4 linked regions of the Yarrowia lipolytica genome follow. The protein of the gene in region 1 purifies or fractionates together with the protein of each later gene. This does not show direct contact. Links are inferred from orthologs where the notes say so. Each region holds a gene or a part of one and is shown in the gene's direction. Other genes may lie near its edges. The genes, in order: YALI1_C15021g, YALI1_D26394g, YALI1_B23609g and YALI1_A13100g.

Region 1 (7,818 bases):
GCTGCTACCACTAGTGCCAATTCTTTCGCGCTGCCACCATACAATTTCTCCTCCGCAGCTATTGGCAACGTCAACATTGCCCCCTTCGTCGGCATGATCTTCGGATCTGTCTTTGGAGGCTGGTTCAACGACAAGACCATCATATGGCTGTCCAACAGAAACAAAGGCATATACGAGCCGGAGTTTCGACTCTACAGTCTCGTATTTGCCAACTTTTCGCTCACAGTGGGCGTTTTTCTGTTTGGCACATCTCTGGCCAACCGAGTGCATTGGATGGTCCCCACAATCGGCTTTGCCATCATTATGTTCGGATTCGGATCATCAGGAGCCATAGTCGTGACCTACCTGCTCGACTGCTACGACAAGATTGTTGCTGACGCCTTCATTGGCGTGATTGTGGTCAGAAACGGACTGGCCATGGTCATCATCTTCTGTTTGGGTCCATGGGAGGAAAGGATGGGTCTTCAGAACGTGTACATTATGGCCGGCTGTTTCTCGCTCGTTCCGTTGATTCTCACAGTTCCCATGATCATCTGGGGCAAGGAGTTGAGAAGAAAAAGTGGGCCTCGCTATCTCAAGGAGTCTCTTAGGGGTCAGTGATAGATTATTGCATATATTTAGAGCAGGCTGGCACGGGTACAAGTGCTGTACAAGTGAAGTATTGGCAGTTGTGTGACGATTTAGCAAGTCTCCAATGTCGTACAAGTTCTTGAAGTCGGCAATATCACTGGAGTACCAGTCCGTGTGTGTCTATATCCAACCGCTTTAGCAACCCCAAGAAAACTGCTGGTCATTGTGGAAATGTTTCATTTCTTCACCCTCGAAGGGACTCTGAAAGTCCCCCAAACAGTTTCAAAGACTCTTCTTCATCTCCACCTGTTTTAATCAAATAAATCTGAATATTTTCAACATTCCCAGTTTTTTATCTTTTATTCCAAGTTTTTTGTCTTTTATTCCCAGATTAAATCATCCCAATATCCGCTTAGCCTGCAGCAAATTCAAAACACCTTTTTTCCAAACTCAAAAATCATTTCCAATCTACACATTCACATCGCCTGATCAGCTCTAGAGGTTGATACAAGAGTGAGTACGAGCGCGCAAAAGTGGCGCAGATGGAAGTGGCACATTGTTTGGTGGCAGAAGAACCGCCCGGCCACCACACGGCGCCAATGGAGACACCTCAGCAATGACATCAACACCGACCTACATGATATGGACATGGGCTGGATGTGGATACCGAGAGTGCGACGGTGGTTGTGTCATGCGATATAACCAGCCGAGATGCGTGAACGTGCCACGTCATCGATGGGGATATTCGATACTGAGCTGTTTCTGGTTCAGATCATGTCATGTCACATACCATGAAGAGACTCTTGACGACATGGGCACCAGACCATCAGCGTATTTACTACGTGGTTGTGTTTGCCACTCATCAAATTGCCACGTCATTAGTTGTCACACCATCGGTTTGATTCGCTTATGGGGTCCGTTCAGACCTCCTACCCTTGCTTTCGTTTACTAACACAGTGCCACCTGGACTACCACCCCCTCCAGGTCTCAGACCACCAGGGGCGCCACCAGGCTTCCCCACGGGAGCACCACCTCCTCCCGGAGCTCCACCCCCTCCCGGAGCTCCACCTCCTCCGGGAGCTCCTCCAGGTGCACCTCCTCCACCTGCTGAGGACTCACGATCGTCTCTCTTACAAGCCCGAAAGAAGCGATGGCTCAAGCTGCAGAAGCGCAAGTTTGCCGACAAGTCCGGCAAGTCGACGTTTGTGCACTCGTCCAAGGCAGATATGCCTCCGGAGCACCTGCGAAAACTCATCAAGGACCATGGAGATATGAGCTCGCGCAAGTTTGCGTCCGACAAACGAGCTTACCTCGGAGCTCTCAAGTTCATGCCCCACGGTGTGATCAAGCTGCTGGAGAATATGCCCCAGCCCTGGGAGGCCGTTCGAGAGGTGAAGGTGCTGTACCACATTTCTGGTGCCATCACTTTCGTGAACGAGATCCCCCGAGTCGTGCCTCAGGTGTACACAGCCCAATGGGCAACCATGTGGGTGATGATGCGACGAGAAAAACGAGACCGACGACACTTCAAACGAATGCGATTCCCTCCTTTTGACGACGAAGAGCCTCCGATTTCTTGGGCAGAAAACATTCAGGATGTTGAGCCCCCAGAGGGCATTTTGATGGACCTGAGTCCCGTGGATGACTCAGCAGTGGTGGATTGGTTCTACGAGCACAGACCGCTGTTCGAGGACGGACTCAAGGTCAACGGGCCCTCCTACCGGTCGTACAGACTGAGTGTTGAGCAGCTGACCACTCTCTATCGACTTGCCACTCCTCTTCTTCCCGATGTTACCGACCCCAACTACTTTTACCTGTTTGACAAAAAAGCCTTTTACACCGCCAAGGCTCTGAATATGGCAATTCCGGGAGGTCCAAAGTTTGAGCCTCTCTACAAAGACCTGGATCCCGACAATGAGGACTTTGGTGAGTTCAATGCCATCGACAGAATCATTGTGCGAAACATGATCACCACAGAACACAAGGTGGCATTCCCCCATGTGTACAACTCCATGCCTCGAAAGGTGGAACTGGTGACGTACTCGTACCCTCAGGAAGTTGTTGTCAAATCTGAGGATCCTGATCTGCCTCCTTACTACTTTGATCCCAAGTTGGCTCCGATCACGAGGTCGAAGATCGATAATAATGTGGACGTTGATCTCTCCGAAGATCTTGGACCTCTCGCACCTCCCCTGGAGTCTGTTCCTCTTGTCAACGAGCAGCTTTCATCAGCTCTGGCTCTCTACCATGCTCCCAGTCCCTTCGATCGACGTTCCGGTCCTACTGTGCGTGCTCAGGACGTGGCTCTTATCAAGGATTGGTACCTGCAGCATCCTCCCAAGGGCTACCCCATCAAGGTGCGAGTTTCCTACCAGAAGCTACTGAAGTCGTACGTGTTGACGTCTCTGACCTCTCAGTCTACAGTCACTCAAAAGAAGCGTGGATTGCTGAAGTCGTTGAGAAACACAAAGTTTTTCCAGCAGACGGAAATTGACTGGGTGGAAGCTGGTTTACAGCTTTGTCGACAGGGTTTCAACATGCTTAACCTGTTGATTCACAGAAAGGGTCTCACATACCTGCATTTGGACTACAACTTCAATTTGAAGCCTACAAAGACACTTACTACCAAGGAGCGAAAGAAGTCTCGGTTTGGAAATGCCTTCCACCTCATGCGTGAGATTCTGCGAGTGGTTAAAATCCTTGTGGACGCTCAGGTTCAATTCCGACTCGGTAATGTCGACGCCTTCCAGCTGGCCGATGGTATTTACTACACCCTGAACCACCTGGGCCAGCTCACCGGTATTTATCGATACAAGTACAAGGTGATGCACCAGATTCGAACTTGTAAGGATCTGAAGCACGTGGTTTACTACAGGTTCAACGTCGTTATCGGTAAGGGTCCTGGCTGTGGTTTCTGGCAGCCTGCCTGGCGGGTGTGGCTATTTTTCCTCCGTGGAATCATCCCCCTTCTTGAGCGGTGGCTGGGAAACCTTCTGGCGCGTCAGTTTGAGGGTCGTCACTCCAAGGGCGTTGCCAAGACTATCACCAAGCAGCGAGTCGAATCTTCCTACGATCTCGAGCTTCGAGCGTCGGTTCTCAAGGATATTCTGGACATGATTCCTGAGGGTATCAAGGAGGCCAAGACCAAGACTGTTCTGCAGCATCTATCTGAGGCCTGGCGGTGCTGGAAGGCCAACGTGCCGTGGAAGGTGCCTGGTATGCCTGCCCCCATCGAGAACATTATCTTACGTTACGTCAAAGCCAAGGCTGAGGGCTGGATGGCTGCTGCTCACTACAACCGAGAGCGAATCAACCGAGGCGCCACTGTGGACAAGACGCTTGCCAAGAAGAATCTCGGCCGTCTGACTCGTCTGTGGCTCAAGTCCGAGCAGGAGAGACAACAAAACTTCCTGCGAGACGGCCCATACTGGGACGGTAATGACGCACGGGCCATCCAGCAGATGATGGTGAACTGGCTAGAGTCACGAAACTTTTCCACCATCTCCATGCCTCCTGCCAGTTACAAGCACGACACCAAGCTGCTGGTGTTGGCGCTGGAGGGTATGAAGGAGGGCTTCAACTCCAAGGGACGTCTCAACCAGAGCCAGCGAGACGAAATGGCGTACATAGAACAGGCCTATGACAATCCTCATGAGACTCTGCGACAGGTGAAGGAGAACTTTGTGCGTAACGAGGGTTTCAAGGACGTGGGATTGGAGATGATGGATCACTACTCTCACGTGACTCCCGTGTACGACATTGACCCCACCGAGAAGATTGCTGACGCATATCTGGACCAGTATCTGTGGTATGAGGGTGACAAGAATGGCCTCTTCCCCAACTGGATCAAGCCTAGTGATTCGGAAGTGCCTCCCTTGCTCGTGTACAAGTGGTGCCAGGGCATCAACAATCTGGACAACATTTGGAAGACTGACGCTGGAGAATCGACTGTCATGCTGGAGACTTCTCTGAGCAAGATCTGGGAGAAGATTGACTTTACTTTTTTGCAGTATCTGCTCCGGTTGATCATGGACGAGAACTTGGCCAAGTACATCATTGCCAAGAACAACGTCCGGCTCACTTACAAAGACATGTCTCACACCAACAACTATGGTCTTTTGCGAGGTCTGCAGTTCTCGTCGTTTGTGGTTCAGTACTATGGTCTCGTTGCTGACTTGCTCATCCTGGGTCTCACTCGAGCGTCTCAGATGGCTGGTGATCCCAAACGGCCCAACTACTTCATGCAATACCCCTCCGTCGCTGTGGAGACGGACCATCCTATCAGAGCGTACTCTCGGTACATTGACCGAATCCACATCCTCTTCCGGTTTACTAAGGACGAGTCTTCGGATTTGGTTCATCGGTTCTTGACTGAGCACCCGGACCCCAACTTTGAAAACGTGGTTAACTTCCCTACTAAGAAGTGCTGGCCGCGTGACTCTCGAATGCGGCTCATGCGGTCCGACGTGAATCTTGCACGCGCCGCGTTTTGGGAAATTCAGAACCGACTCCCTCGAGCCATGACGTCCATTGAGTGGTCTGAGTCGTTTGTCTCTGTCTACTCCAGCGAAAACCCCAATCTGCTGTTTTCCATGTGCGGTTTTGAGGTTCGAATCCTGCCCAAGTGTCGAACTGTGGCGTCTGTGCCCGTCAAGGACTCTGTCTGGAACCTCACCAACGAGTCTACCAAGGAGCGAACTGCGTATGCTTTCTTGCGCGTCTCTGATGCCGATATTGCGCGGTTCAACAACAGAATTCGACAGATTCTCATGTCGTCTGGTTCCACCACCTTCACGAAGATTGCCAACAAGTGGAACACTGCTCTGATTTCGCTGTTCACGTATTATCGAGAGGCGGCTGTCGCCACTGAGCAGCTTCTGGACACCCTGGTCAAATGCGAGACCAAGATTCAAACTCGTGTCAAGATTGGCCTCAACTCCAAAATGCCAACTCGTTTCCCCCCTGCCGTGTTCTACACCCCCAAGGAGCTTGGTGGTCTGGGTATGTTTTCTGCTTCTCACATTCTGATCCCTGCCAGTGATCTGCGGTGGTCCAAGCAGTCTGATCAGGGCGGCATTACCCACTTCCGAGCTGGTATGACTCATGTTCACGGCGAAGACAAGATCATTCCAAATATTTTCCGGTACTTGACGACCTGGGAGGCAGAGTTCACCGACTCGCAGCGTGTGTGGGCCGAGTATGCGTCCAAACGAGCCGAGGCCAAGGCCGAGAACCGGCGTCTGTCTCTGGAGGATCTAGAGGACTCGTGGGACCGAGGTCTGCCTCGAATCAACACATTGTTCCAGAAGGACAGACATACGCTGGCCTACGATAAGGGTCACCGTGTGCGAACGGAGTTCCGACAGTTCTCCATCCCTAGAGTCAACCCCTTTTGGTGGACGTCTCAGCGTCATGACGGTAAGCTGTGGTCGCTGAATACATACAGAACAGACGTCATCCAGGCACTGGGTGGCATTGAGACGATTCTGGAACACACTCTGTTCAAGGGTACCGGTTTCGACAACTGGGAAGGTCTCTTCTGGGAGAAGGCCGCTGGCTTCGAGGACCAACTCAAGCTCAAGAAGCTGACCAACGCCCAGCGGTCTGGTCTCAACCAGATTCCCAATCGACGCTTCACTCTCTGGTGGTCTCCTACCATCAACCGAGCCAATGTCTACGTTGGTTTCCTGGTACAGCTGGATCTCACGGGTATCTTTTTGCATGGTAAAATCCCCACGCTCAAGATTTCGCTGATTCAGATTTTCCGGGCCCATTTGTGGCAGAAAATCCACGAGTCGGTGGTGCTTGATATCTGTCAGGTGCTTGATCGAGAGCTGGAGACGCTGCAGATTAGTGAGACTCGAAAGGAACAAATTCATCCTCGAAAGTCGTACAAGATGAACTCTTCGTGTGCTGATATTGTGCTCAAGTCGGCCTACAAGTGGAACGTTTGCAAGCCTTCATTGTTGAACGATTCGTCCGACTCCATGGATTTCGCTCAAACGTCCGAGTTCTGGCTGGACGTGCAGCTTCGATACGGAGACTACGACTCGCACGATATCAGTCGGTACACTCGAGCCAAGTTTCTGGAGTACACCACCGACGGAGTGTCTGTCTACCCCTCGCCTGTTGGAGCCATGGTTGGCATTGATCTTGCGTACAACATGTACGACGCCTATGGCAACTGGTTCCCCGGTCTGAAACAGCTCATGCGTCCTGCCATGTCCAAAATCATGCAGGCCAACCCTGCATTGTTTGTGCTGCGAGAACGAATCCGAAAGGGCCTGCAGCTGTATCAGTCGCAGCCGCAGGAAGCGTTCCTCAACTCGCAAAACTACCAGGAGTTATTCAACAACGAGGTGCAGTTCTTCGTGGACGATTCGAACGTCTACCGAGCCGCTGCTCATACCACTTTTGAGGGCAACTTTACCAACAAGCCTCTTAACGGTGCTGTGTTCATTTTGAACCCCAAGACCGGTCAGCTGTTCCTCAAGGTGGTTCACACGTCCACTTGGGCCGGTCAGAAGCGTCTGTCTCAGCTGGCCAAATGGAAGGCGGCCGAAGAGGTGGCTGCTCTGATCCGATCTCTTCCAAAGGAAGAGCAGCCCAAACAGGTGATTGTCACTCGAAAGAGTATTGTTGAGCCGCTGAAGCAGCAGCTGTTTGAGTTCCCCAACACGGTCATCCGGCCGTCGGAGCTCCAGCTGCCGTTCAAGTCTGCTCTGCAGGTGGAGAAGCTCGGAGATCTGATTCTCAAAGCAACTGAGTCGCAGATGGTTATTTTCAATCTCTTTGACGATTGGCTCAAGTCAATTTCCAGTTACACTGCCTTTGCTCGTCTGGTTCTCATTTTGCGAGGTATGCATGTCAACCATGAGAAGACAAAGATCATTCTGCGTCCCGATCACACGGTTGTGACTCTTGACCATCACATGTGGCCTTCCTTCTCAGAAGATCAGTGGGTGCACGTGGAGAATCAGCTGCGAGACATGATTCTCAACGACTACGGCAAGAAGAACAATGTGAACATCCAGTCGCTGACTCAGCACGAGATTCGAGATATTATTCTGGGCCAGGAGATCAAAGCACCTTCTCAAAAGCGTCAGGAGCTGCAGGACATTGAGGAGAACAAGACAGACTCTCAGGTGACTGCACTAAAGACCAAGTCTCAAAACGTGCATGGAGACGAAATGGTGGTGGTAACCACGTCCAACTACGAGCAGCAGGTGTTTCAGAGCAAGACTGAGT
Region 2 (4,952 bases), on another chromosome or scaffold:
AATGGTATGAAGACTTGTTCGAGTAGCAGGACATGTTCGAGTAGCAGGACATGTTCAAGTAGTCAGGACATTTTCAGTAATCAGGACATTTTCAGTAATCAGGACATGTTCGAGAAGTCAGGACATGTTCGAGTAATCAGGATATGTTCGGATAATATCGTCCGTTTCGGGAATGATCGCCCTAACATGTCTTACAACTGCTAGACGTGAGATAATGAGGGTAAACATAAGCCACAGTGTACTTGTACTGGCCCGAGTTCATGTTTTTCGAACATAAAAAGGAAACGTTATTTGATGCCGTTCATAAACGATGAACCCCTGTGATTTGAGGAGGCACGGTCGTTTTCAGCATTTTGACCTCAGAATACGGTGCTCCTGGACACAAGGAGTGTGTTGGGCTTATCCGATTTCTCGTATCGTGCGATTTGCGCGAGTTGTGTGGGTTTTTGCCGGCGGCTAAGTCCTCTTCAGAACATGTACACACGAAAATGGCCATGGTGTTGAAGGTAATACCCGGTAAGGTAATACCTGGCTAGTTTCCCCACATAATGATGAAAGTCAACATAGTGATGAGAGGACCAGCTTTGGTCGTAGACGAGAACGTCCAATCCTCTAGATAGTTCTCTGATCTAGAATCTCTTTTGGTGAATGGAGAAAGCACGCACACACCGAAGGGTGTGTGCTACTATCGGAACGTGGTGTCCCTAAAGGGTTGTGAGTTTGTTAATTAACTATATCTAATCAATAATACTTGTCATCAATACATGGACATCACACAAGTCTGTCCGAAGAGAATGAACATTTGACTGGAAGCATGGAAGGCTGTTTTTCGACTGAAGCCGGGTCAGACGGGACTGGGACGAGATGGGGCAAAATATATATATACGGGAATGTGATTAGGAGCACTATGCGACTAAAATGATATATTATACGCTCATTTTAGACCTTGAGAAAGCCGCCATATATTGCACTTTTGGGACAAGTATACTCACGTTGAAAGTATATATATATATATTTCTCTATATATAATAGAATCGCCATTTTAAATCAGAAAGTCAGAATAAATCAAAATATATCGGATTGAATCGGAAAATCAGAACAAAAGACAACAGATATATATTACTTGAGATCGACTTTACTTCGGGTTACTTTCGTGAATACTAATACAAGTAAATAGTGCAAGAAAAAAGACGCTCAAAGGGTAAAATCTCACCTGGTACTTGAACAAGTACAAGTTGTAGCTGAAGGATAGTACGAGTTTCCTTTTGAATTTCATCTTCATCGGGCCCATTTCGCGCCAAAATTAGTTAACATTTTATTTTTTTTTTTTTATTTTATTTATTTATTTTTATTTATTTTTTGACTTCCCAATTATACTTAGGTCACTCCAACTAACACCTAGTAACTCTAACGGCAATTTACCTCATGCAACGATATTGAACTGAAATATTTCCACCGTACATACAGAAATACATTCAAAGCACGAACAGAAGACAGTCAACCGACAACACATAACCAGCAGAGTGATAAAGAACGCGGAACGTGAAAGGAGTCAATCACCGTGAAAGGGCCGAACACGTGAAAAGGGCCGAACACGTGAAAGGAGCCCGAACACGTGACTCGAAGCGTGACCATTCCGATTCTCGATCCCTCCGGAGACGCAGTTATCGTGGCGACAGATCGAGAAGCCCGTCACGATCTCGGTCCAGGTCATATTCTCCATCTCGGTCGCCCCGAAGGAAGCGGCGCCGACACAGAACCAGTCGCAGAAGCCGGAGGTCACGAAGGGAAGGTGATGGACGACGCAAAGATGGCCCTAGAGGCCATGATGACAGAAGCCCCTTGGCCCCTAGGGAGGTGGAGGATGTGACTGTCAAGAGGGAGGATAGCACGAACGACAAGGAAAGTACTCACGACAAGGAAAGTACAAACGACAAGGAACGCAATGTCTCGATGGAGGACAGGAAGGATACTTCTGAGGATGTTGTGGAGGATGTGGAGGAGGGGGATCCTTCTGAAGAGGCACTGGAAAAAAAAGTAAAGAACCCAGAAGATGACTTGGAGGCAGCGGCAGAAGAGCTCAAGAAACTCATGGAGCTAAAGTCTGGAGGCCGATACGTTCCTCCTGCTAAAATCAGAGCGCTTCAGAAGCTGCTGGTCCAGGATAAGACGTCCAAGGAGTTCCAGAAGATCCAGTTTGACAATCTCAAGAAGGCAATCAACTCGCTGGTGAACAAGGTCAGTGCTCAGAACATTCGAGATATTGCGGGGGAGATTTTCACTCATAATCTCATCCGAGGACGTGGGCTGTTCTGTAGAAGTGTCATGACCGCCCAGAGTCTTGCTCTGCCCTATACGCCTGTCTACGCCTGTCTGACGGCCATTGTCAACTCCAAGCTACCTCAGGTTGGCGAGCTGCTTGTGCGACGACTCATTCTGCAATTTCGACGGGGCTACAAGCGTAATCAGAAGGACGTGTGTTTGTCAAGTGTGACGTTTCTGGCGCATTTGTGCAATTACCATGTTGCTCATGAGGTTCTAGTGCTTCAGTTGCTGCATTTGTTGCTTGAGACCCCCACAGATCACTCTGTCGAGGTTGCTGTGGCTTTCATCAAGGAGTCCGGTGCCTTTTTGGCCGAAGTTTCGCCTGCTGCCAACAACGGAGTATTTGAGCGTCTTCGAGCTGTGTTGCATGATGGCGAGCTGGAAAAACGAACGCAGTACATGATCGAGACGCTGTTCCAGATCAGAAAAGACGGCTACGAAAACTACCCTGTGGTTCAAGAAGAACTGGACCTGGTAGACGAGGAGGACTATGTGACACATATGACGGGTTTGGACGACAAGTTTACAGATGATAAGCTGCTCAACTACTTTGTTATGGACCCTGACTACGAGGCCAACGAGGAGAAGTACGATTTGCTGAAAAAGGAGATCCTGGGAGACTCTGACGACGAAGAGGAAGATGATAGTGAAGCCGAGGAAGAGGCAGATGATGAAGAGGAGGAGGAGGAGGATGAAGAGGAGGAGGCTCAAGCCTCTACCTCGGCTGTGCGAGACCTCACGGGTACAGAGCTTGCTACGTTGCGAAAGAAAATTTATCTGACGGTCATGTCGACCATGTCGATCGACGAAATCGTTCACAAGCTTGTCAAGCTGTCTCGAACGGTTATTGAGATCCCTGAGGGTCTCCCCGAAGACCAGGCTCTGATTCTGCGTCTCAAGCGGACCCAGGAGGTGACGAACATGCTTGTGGAGTGTTGTGCTCAAGAGAAGATTTATAACAAAATCTACGGAGGTACAGGAGAGCGGCTTCTGAGACTGTCGCGGGAATGGAGAACCAACTTTGAGAACACCTTTGGGTTCTTTTACTCGGTTATCCACAGATACGAGCCCAATCAGATCAGAAACATTGCCACGTTCTTTGGGTACCTGTTGGCATCAGATTCTCTGTCGTGGAAGGTTTTGGAGGCTGTTTCTCTGACTGAAGAGGACTCGAACCCCTCGAACCGTATCTTTCTCAAGATTATGTTCACCGAGATGCGTCAGGAGCTGGGAATGGATCTGTTGAAGGAGCGACTTTCCAAGTCGTTTGTGCAGCAGTACATTGCCGGTATGTTCCCCAAGACGAATGCTTCTCATGTTCGGTTTGCCATCAACTATTTCACTGCCATTAATCTTGGTCCTTTGACAGATGGTATGCGGGAGATTCTTCCTGGTCTGGTGGAGGAGGAGGAGAGGCTGAAGAAGGAGGAGGAAGAGCAGAAGCGAGAGTACGACAGTTACGATTCATACGACAGTTATGACTCATACGACTCCTACGACTCCTACGACTCCTACGACTCCTACGACTCCTACGATAGTTACGACTCCTACGATAGTTATGACTCCTATGACTCCTATGACTCCTATGACTCAGTGTCTGAGGATGATCGGGGGCGACGACGACGACGAGGTGTAGGAAGTAGAAGGCGGTCGCTAACTCGGTCTCCTGGTTCGCGGTCACGGCCACGATCCCGGCCACGATCCCGGTCACGGTCAAGATCTCTATCTCGGGATAGAACCGGTTCTCCGCCTCGTGGTCGACGGCGGTCTCGATCTTATTCCCGTTCGCCTTCGCGGTCATACTCTCGTTCGAGATCTTATTCCCGATCGCCATCTCCGAGACCTAAATCTAAAGGGGCTAAAGGCCGGAGCAGTTACCGGGCCGCCAGTTATTCGCGGTCGAGATCTCCGGTCAGACGAGTTGGTTATTCTAGAAGCAGGTCTCCAAGCGTGTCTGGAGGTTCCTCTCGAAGTCCTTCTAGAAGTCCTTGTAGAAGCCCCAACAAGGGCCGTGCTCCTACTCCGGAGAAAGGTCTTTCGCCGCCTCGAAAGCGAGTGCGCGCCAGTGATTTGTTCTAACACACGCCCCCCGCACCCCCCGCACCCCCCGCGCCATCAGGTAGATGTAATTGATACTGTATTTTTTTAATTCCTTCTCGTCTCTGTCTGTTTGTTGAATTTTTTCCCTCTCATTTACCCCATTTTCCGCCCGTCCAACCAACAACCGCTTTTTACGGCTACAACCGGGTATTAGCGCATTTCACCTAAAATAAGCTTCCGTTGGCTTAAACAGTTTTGACTCTCTGCGATTGCTAAGCACCATCACGGGGTCCGTGTGTCTCTACAGAAGAGTATATATAGACGGGCGTGTTCCGCAATGATAGGCCACGATCACAAACACACACAGTGAGTATCTTGTGCGCCAATTCTTAAACGCCACCAGCGCCGCCCTCAGACCCTCCGCGCGAACACGGACCTGTCATAGTGCACGTATGTACAGTATGTACTGGCAGGAGAGTGTGTGAACTCAAATGTGACATTTGCCTTTGACTATTGTTCCGGACCCAACAAGAGCAGGGTAAGTCTGCTGCGAGGAGCGCACCTACAGAGACGCATAGTTTAACAAC
Region 3 (2,720 bases), on another chromosome or scaffold:
CCAGAATCTTGCAGATAAAGATGGCCACAGAAATCACTGGTTTGATCCACACGTACTGCAGTACCGCTCGTTTGACGGTCAGAAATTCGTGAGGGTCGGAAATGTTGACCTTTCCAAACAGAGTGTGGAGAGGAGCTCGTCCCTGGGTGGTGAAAATGATGTTTCGTTCGCCGCCGAGCAGATTGGTAAGCAGCGAAAAGAAGGTGTAGAGGGTGAAGGCTTCGTAGATTTCTTTGAGAGCTGATAGCACAATGTTGAAGCGGGCCAGAGGTCTGGAAATCTGGTCCTGGGTCTCCAGAAGAGACAGCCATGACGAGAGCGCAAATAGAGGAACCAGAAACAGAATCCGAATCACCAACCGCTGGTCAGCGGGACGGGTGTATGTGTAGAGTTGTAGGAGAATGGATATTGTCGAGATGAAAATGGCGATAAACGTCGACCATGTCGCCACGTTGATGAGATATTGCGGTAACATTGCGTCACTAGTGTTATGTCACTGTTGTTGTGAGTCCGCTGGATGGGTTGCTGTGATGACTAATACCGTGTTGTAATTGCTGTTGTCTGTGTCGGCGCTGCGTTGCCGTGGTTACCTTTGAATGGGAGGGGGGCGTGTTTTTAACCGGGCTCGGCCGTAACGTCGTGGGGCGGCGTCTGACTACGCCTAGTCTGATCCCGTGATGGTGTAGTGCAGAAGTGTACTTTTTTCTACTGCTGGATAATATAGGGGTTGAGTTTGGGAGTTGGGGGAGGGTGGCGACAAAGTGGAAAAGTAACAATTTGGGGGAGATTTTGATATCATCAGAATCAGAGGAATGGGAAGAGTTTTCAGATATAATTGGATTTTCTATTGGACTATTATTGGGTGTTTTATATGGAGGTTGTGGGGAGAGGGATGGGACTGTAGTTGGGGACCAATAGAGTTACTCACTATTACTTGGAAAATTACTTAAACATTGGGCGCGTGGAATAGTGCTATTAGATAGACGTTCAACAATTGGAAATGTAGCCAAAAAGTGTTGTATATATAACTTCAAATATGAATATCATAGGGCTATCTCTTCAATTCACCCACTGAGTCATGTTCGGTTGCTTTGGGTGGCGAAAACAGCAGAAACAGCAAGTCTAGAAGAAAGAGAGGGAGAGGAAACTGGAACAATCGGACACACTTCAGAGAAGATGTCAACAGCAATGATACCGTCTGTAGCCTCATTTTCTCCTCTTCCACCAATGATTTTGACGTCAGTACCTTATCAGAAATTTTCTGTTGATAATAGCTTCACTGCATGAGAGTCAGGTCCGTCACAACTGGGTATATTTGTATGGGATCAGGTGCTAAAATTCTTACTGTAGCATTACAGTCACTCTAAGAAGATAATGGGCCAAAAATCACTCAAATAGCTCCATTATTGGCTACATTAGATCCACCCCTGTTTTCCCCCTATGTAACTCAAATGCATTTTAGCTGCAGCAAAAAAACCAACCTCCAAAAAATCATCACCACTTTCCAAAACAACCAAAACAGCAAATTCTGATCCGAACCTCAGAAAGCACAAACACGTGACGGACTCGGCGATACCTAAATCACGTGAAACACCATAAGGGAGCCGATCGAAACCCCTGACGCGACACGAAACTCCAACTGCATTTATCGACCATCACATCACATCCACAACGCCACCACCTGGATATTGATCGAAGAGAAAAAGGGGCGCCAGATACCACCTGAAACCTTACTAAGCATCATCAGACACCGCACAAAATGGTGAAAATCCGCACTTCACGATCGAAAGCGCCTCCAGCTGGATTTGACGACATCTCCGATATTCTGCAGGAGTTTGGAGACAAGCTAAAAGACGCCCAAAACGCTCCAACCGAGGGAAAGAAAAAGAACCAGTTGTTATGGGACATTTATCGCATCCATCACCAGCGGTCTCGATATGTCTATGAGTTGTATTACAAGAAGGAGGCCATCACCAAAGAGCTGTATGCATATCTTCTGAAGAAGGGGTATGCCGATCAGAATCTCATTGCCAAGTGGCGAAAGCAGGGATACGAGAATCTCTGCTGTTTGAGGTGCATTCAAGGAAAGGAGAACATTCACGAAGGAACTTGTATCTGTCGGGTTCCTCGAAAGGATATCAAGGATGACAAGCCGGTGGAGTGTGTGACTTGTGGGTGTCGGGGTTGTGCTTCGAGTGATTAATCGACGAGTGAATGAGCAGTGAATCACAGCCACTAGTCGCAGCCTCGAGTCACAGCCATGAGTGAATCAACGAGAGTCCCAAGACTGGGATACAGCATTATCAGGTTTGGCAGCTGCACAACAGCTACCATTGTCTGACTATTGGTACAGGGCTTAGTTACTGAGTATCATGATACAGTCTGTCAAAGTTTGTGCCAGTATCTTTCGCAGCTGGAGGATACGACAGCCAAGTACCACCGACCAACCGACAGACGGATCTCCTTGGGCTCATACCGTCCCGGAGACAATGGGTGAACTCCAAGAGAAGGAAAAAGGATACCGTTAAGACTTTGTAATATAACTTATGGACTGGGGATGATTCCAGTAGAGAACGTATAGGCCCTGGAATATGATGTAGACGACTGTGATGGGAAACATGATCTTTGCCGAGTTTCAATGTTTCAATGTTTCAATGTTTCAATGTTTCAATGTTTCAATGTCTCCACCTGCCCACCTGATTTGCAAGGTGCCATCTCCG
Region 4 (5,000 bases), on another chromosome or scaffold:
CAATGGTAGTAGTCGCGGGTATCGTGTCAACAGCATGGTTCATAGTATCTGGACGAGCAGCGCAGACCTTGTCCAGAAACTCTTCGGCATCTCGAATGGCAAGATGCATCTGTCTGCGTTCTTTTTTCAACTTCTTCTTTTCGGTCTGGTCTGTTGTTTTGCTCATGATTGTACCCAAGTGCAGTCGACGGTTTATGAGGTTGTCAATGGAAGCACGGAGCACGTCGGCACCCGGAGGGACTGCGGCAGAGGGTCGCACATGGGCTGCGGGAGCTGTGGGCGGAATTCTGCTTCTGCGTATGGCTTCTCGCAGAGCAATGGTTCGCTCGACGAGAGCTTCATTCATTGTACGAGTGTTGCCGCCTTCTAGGGCAGGGGGAATGGATGGCGGCGTTCCCTGGGACAAGGTGGGGGAAGATGGGTCGAGAGGAGGAGCAGGTGATGCAGAGGGTATGGAAGCAGGTGTACTGCTTCGAGACAAGGACGCTGCTCCACTGCTAGGGGGAGGTATGGCGGAGCTATAAGATGCAGCTGGGCCTGTACTTGAGCTTGCAGTTTGAGCTCCGATTGGTATTGGTGGTAAAGATGTACCCGAGGGCGGTTGTGTAGCAGCAACAGGAGCAGAAGGAGTCGCAGGTTGTTCTCCCGAAGCACTCCGGTCCGAGTCTGAGACAGCTACAGCCAAAGTGGCGCCGGTGATGGATGTCTGCGGTGCTGAGGGTTTATCAGTTGGTGGAGATTTATCGCATGTCTCCGTGGGAGCGTTCATGGGCGCCACAGGGGCCTCCTCTTGGGTCTCCATGTGTTCAGGCACAAACATGGTCTCGAAACTATCTAGAGAGTCGTACTCGCCCACCCACTCAAACTCTTCGATGTTGTCCACGTTCAGCAGGGCGTTGCATCCGTCCAGTAAGGACACATTGAGTCGTCGAAACTTGTCGAGGTTGCGTTGCACGAAAATAGCCAGGCCACGCTTGTCGCGTTTGATCCTCAGAGTACTGATTCGGTCCAGGGTTTCGGAGAACAGCGTCCTCACCTCGCGTCGTCGGCGCAGTTTGAAGGTCTTTTCGATGGTCGTAGCAATGTCGATTGGCTCGGAGATGCCCTTCAGCATGTCGCCTAGCTGGGGGTCTGTCCTGGTCAAGATGTACTCTTTGATCTTGCGCGATACAAGTATCAACTTGGAAGCTGAGGAAGCCGGTTGCAAAGACTGTTTTTGTTGTTTCTGGCCACCACTGTTGCTGGCTCCCATGAAGCTAGCCAGCCGAATCAGCGTCTCGTCGGTATCGTTGTCGCTGATGGGACACAAGACATGTCGGGCTGCCAGGGTGGACACCAGAGACACCGAGCACCGCTTCAGCCACAGCGCCTCATTTCCCAGAGTCGACAGATATGCGTTGAGATCATCGTTGAACTCCAGGTATTCCGCATAAGTGGATTTGAAGCCCAGCATGGGATAGTGTGTTGTAGCAGTTCAAGATCGATCTCGTGTTTAGGTAGAAAACATGTATCACGTAAACAGACTATCAATTATATAAATGGTGTGAATATTTGGGGGGGGGGGGGGGGGGGGGGTAGTGAGTGGGTAAAGCCCTTCCATTCAACAAGTGTATATCCAAGTAACACTTTTTTGTGTACATACTGGTCATGGTGCATCATCTGTAGTTTTTCATTTTGTATTTTTTTTTAGTTTTTTTTTCAATTTTTTTTTCAATTTTTTTTTTCACAATTTTTTTCTTCATATTTTCTTCATAATTTTAATCATAATTTTAATTTGCCACTAAAACAACATCCGGAATCGAACACACAACTCTTTCTTCCCTGAAGCTATATGGAAAATCTCCAACCCTAACCCGCGCTCTAATTATTTGTCTACATAGTAGTAGTGGAAGTACAGTCCTGTACCAATCTACCAACCACACAACCATCATGTCGTACAACAAGCGAGGACGAGATGACGATGACGGGTATGACGGCGGGCGACGGCAGCGACACACGCAGACCACGCACCAGATCTTCGACCGGCTGTACTTTGACATTGTCGAGATAGGCGACCCTTCTCGAATGTCTCTGACAAATCGAGTTGCTCAGGCGGGATTCGGATTTGCGCAGGATCTGGACAACCTGGCGATCCGAAACGGAGTTCTCGAGACATTCATTGCCACGATCATGGAGCAGCCCCACAAAACACCGCTGGTTGCAGCCATTGTTCTCGTGGCCAACTCCTCCAACTCGCTGGCAGGTCAGCTGGCAGTGGAGCATCTGCACAGCAAGATTGAAGGATGGCTCAAGCAGGGCAACTATAACCACGTCAAGATAGCCGTGCGACTTTTGGCCTGTCTCGAAGGAGCCATTGAGGAGGGACGAGGAGTGCTGGTTTTCCTGGATCGACTGTTGGATCGAGCAATTGAGCGGGACCAGGCCAAGGGTAGCGAGTCGCGTGATCCCCTGGTGGAGGAGCTGTACGCCACCATATTTCTGACTCTTCCCTACATCGGATCCACTTTGGTGTCTCTGGGCAAGTCTGTGGAGGCCTGTGATCAGCTGCTGGAGAAGGCCAACGGTCATTTCGGTATCGAAAAGTTCCTGTCGAACCCCATCGTCGAGCCCTACACCGGCGACGACAAGCCCTACGAGTGCGATCTGTTCCTGGCCAACCTCTACGAGGGAGTCAACTCCGTGGCCAAGGACGGATGGGCCGTCAAGTCGTTCATCAACGTGTTAGAACTGATTGAGCCTGTGGTGGAGAACAAGGAGGTGACCCAGAAACACGTTTTCCCGGCAGTTTCTATTCCCGAGACTCTGGCCGAGTCCACTTCCACAGACTACATTTACCCCAGAATCTTCTTCCGAGCCTACATGCCCATTGACGTGGAAGGCGAGGCCATGAACACGGTTCCAGACCCCAAGTCATACGACGCTGTGCTGTGGAGAGACATGCTGTCAGACACCATCCAGAATCTCGACTTTAACCGAAAAGAGTGCGCCAAGCAGCTGTTCACCCTTGATCTTTTCCTCAACAAGGGCACCTTCACGGGACCCGGAATCTCGGTAGACAAGCTAAGTGGCAAGTTTCTGGATGCCAAGGCCGACGACAGACCCATCTCCACTCTCAAGGTGGAAGACGTGGCGTCTGAAGCCATCCTGGCAGAGCTTTTTCGGCTCGCCACGCCTCCTCTACAGCCTGCGTACTTTCATTCTCTGTTCATCGAGGCATGTATCATGGCTCCTCAGGCCATTGCCCCTGTTTTCGGCCGAGCGGTGCGGTTCCTGTTTGCCAATCTGCGGTCGTTTGACACAGAGCTAATCCACCGGTTCCTGGACTGGTTTTCGCACCATCTGTCCAACTTTGGATTCACCTGGAAGTGGCAGGAGTGGGTCGAGTACGTCGATCTGGAACCTCTGGACCCTCGGCTCGTCTTTATCAAGCAGCTCATCAAGAAGGAGCTCCGTCTGTCATTCGAGTCGCGAATCAAGGAGACTCTCCCCGACGAACTTGTGGTGTTTGTGCCTACTGACGGCGAGTTGATGCCAACCTACGAGTACATTGAGTCTGAGAACCAGTACAGAGAAGTCGCCGACCAGTTGTTGGACGTGTTCAAGGACAAGTACGACCAGGGTGTCTCCGAGACATACCTCGAGGTGATTGATTCCATCAAGGAGGCTGTCCCCGACAACAGAGAGCTCCTACTGGACATTGTCATCGGAGCCGCCATCTTTGTTGGCTCTCGATCACTGTCTCTGTCCCAGGACTGGATTAACCGTCTTGCCCAGCAGCTCCAGCACGTGATTGAGTCTGCTGAAGATGAGTCTGCTGCCGTGACAACCGTCATGCAGTTTTACCGAAACCAGCCCCATGTAGGAACCGTTGTTCTGCACTTTTTGCTGCTTGAAAACGTCATTTCGCCTGCTGCTATTATCACCTGGCTGTTTGAGTCGCCGGGCGATGTTGTTTTCACCGAGAACCACGGCTGGGAGTGTCTGATTCGAACTCTAGATGAGGTGGCCCAGGAGGGAGAGGTGCAGGATCACGTTGGACCCTTCAAGAGTGTTTTCGAGTACCTGGCCGTCAAGGACTCCGACTCGGAGCAGCTCGGATGGTGGAAGCGACAGGTCACCAAGTCGCTCATTCGAAAGTACGTTGATTACATTAAGAACGAGCAGATTCTCGAAGTGGTTCCCACCAATGTCAAGGACATTGTCGGCCAGTATCTTGCTGTTCGACCCATTGTGCCCCGGAAGAAGGTGATCATCGCCGAGCCCAAGGTTGAAGAGGATCAGCCCATGGCTGACGCTGCTGCCAAGGGTGTCACCGAGGCCACCTCGGCTGTCGAATCAAAGGAGACCAAGGAGGCTGAAACCGCTGCCGAGCCCAAGGAGGCTGAGGTCGCAGAGTCCAAGGAGGCTGAATCCGCTGCCGAGCCCAAGGATGCTGAACCCGCTGCCGAGTCCAACGACAAGGACGAGACAATGCAGGAATAAAACATAGGTATGTAATTGTAAATGAAATGGATTGGATGGGTTTCTGTGAGTTTTTGTAGTGCTCGTAGGACATCGTATTCAGAACCAAAAAGTACATACCCTGCTCAATGACACAACTGAAAAGTACTCGACCGGAGCAAAAAAGTCACATGAAGAACACGTGGATGGACGACACCGGAATCGAACCGGGGACCTCGCGCATGCTAAGCGCATGTGATAACCAACTACACCAGACGCCCCTTGTGTTTTCTGTGAGCCCACCTAATGTGTGTCAAAACAAATGTTGCCAAGAAACTCCCCAAAAGTGACCCAAAAACGACCATAATTTGCACCGTTAGATACTGGTGGATTTAAAAACATCCTAATAATTGCTATTTTGTCATTATGTTCATTTCTGGGGCGTGATGGGAGAAAACTGCCATTTTAGACCAAGGTGGAGTGCATAATACATGCATAATCGACGCACATAAAACGGGTTTTTGATAAACTCTAAATTTGGCGTCTTAGTTCCACATCTC

What was found.
Region 2: the proteins of YALI1_C15021g (region 1) and YALI1_D26394g purify together in Saccharomyces cerevisiae (affinity purification with mass spectrometry; 3 studies listed by BioGRID). This does not show direct contact. The link is inferred for Yarrowia lipolytica from reciprocal best matches to the Saccharomyces cerevisiae genes PRP8 and CWC22.
Region 3: the proteins of YALI1_C15021g (region 1) and YALI1_B23609g purify together in Saccharomyces cerevisiae (affinity purification with mass spectrometry; 4 studies listed by BioGRID). This does not show direct contact. The link is inferred for Yarrowia lipolytica from reciprocal best matches to the Saccharomyces cerevisiae genes PRP8 and BUD31.
Region 4: the proteins of YALI1_C15021g (region 1) and YALI1_A13100g purify together in Saccharomyces cerevisiae (affinity purification with mass spectrometry; 3 studies listed by BioGRID). This does not show direct contact. The link is inferred for Yarrowia lipolytica from reciprocal best matches to the Saccharomyces cerevisiae genes PRP8 and STO1.

Annotation. Positions count from the first base shown.
Region 1 is NC_090772.1:1,496,109-1,503,926, reverse strand, and holds the start of YALI1_C15021g (uncharacterized protein), read left to right. Parts: upstream 1-1,796; coding exon 1,797-7,818. Other genes in the region: YALI1_C15048g (uncharacterized protein), read left to right, coding at 1-600. UniProt on the Saccharomyces cerevisiae protein: Functions as a scaffold that mediates the ordered assembly of spliceosomal proteins and snRNAs. Required for association of BRR2 with the spliceosomal U5 snRNP, and the subsequent assembly of the U4/U6-U5 tri-snRNP complex.
Region 2 is NC_090773.1:2,636,412-2,641,363, reverse strand, and holds YALI1_D26394g (uncharacterized protein), read left to right. Parts: upstream 1-1,953; coding exon 1,954-4,404; downstream 4,405-4,952. UniProt on the Saccharomyces cerevisiae protein: May be involved in pre-mRNA splicing.
Region 3 is NC_090771.1:2,360,005-2,362,724, reverse strand, and holds YALI1_B23609g (uncharacterized protein), read left to right. Parts: upstream 1-1,759; coding exon 1,760-2,203; downstream 2,204-2,720. Other genes in the region: YALI1_B23622g (uncharacterized protein), read right to left, coding at 1-475; YALI1_B23603g (uncharacterized protein), read left to right, coding at 2,261-2,335, 2,392-2,538. UniProt on the Saccharomyces cerevisiae protein: Involved in pre-mRNA splicing. Important for bud site selection.
Region 4 is NC_090770.1:1,308,074-1,313,073, forward strand, and holds YALI1_A13100g (uncharacterized protein), read left to right. Parts: upstream 1-1,929; coding exon 1,930-4,482; downstream 4,483-5,000. Other genes in the region: YALI1_A13095g (uncharacterized protein), read right to left, coding at 1-1,453. UniProt on the Saccharomyces cerevisiae protein: Component of the CBC complex, which binds co-transcriptionally to the 5'-cap of pre-mRNAs and is involved in maturation, export and degradation of nuclear mRNAs.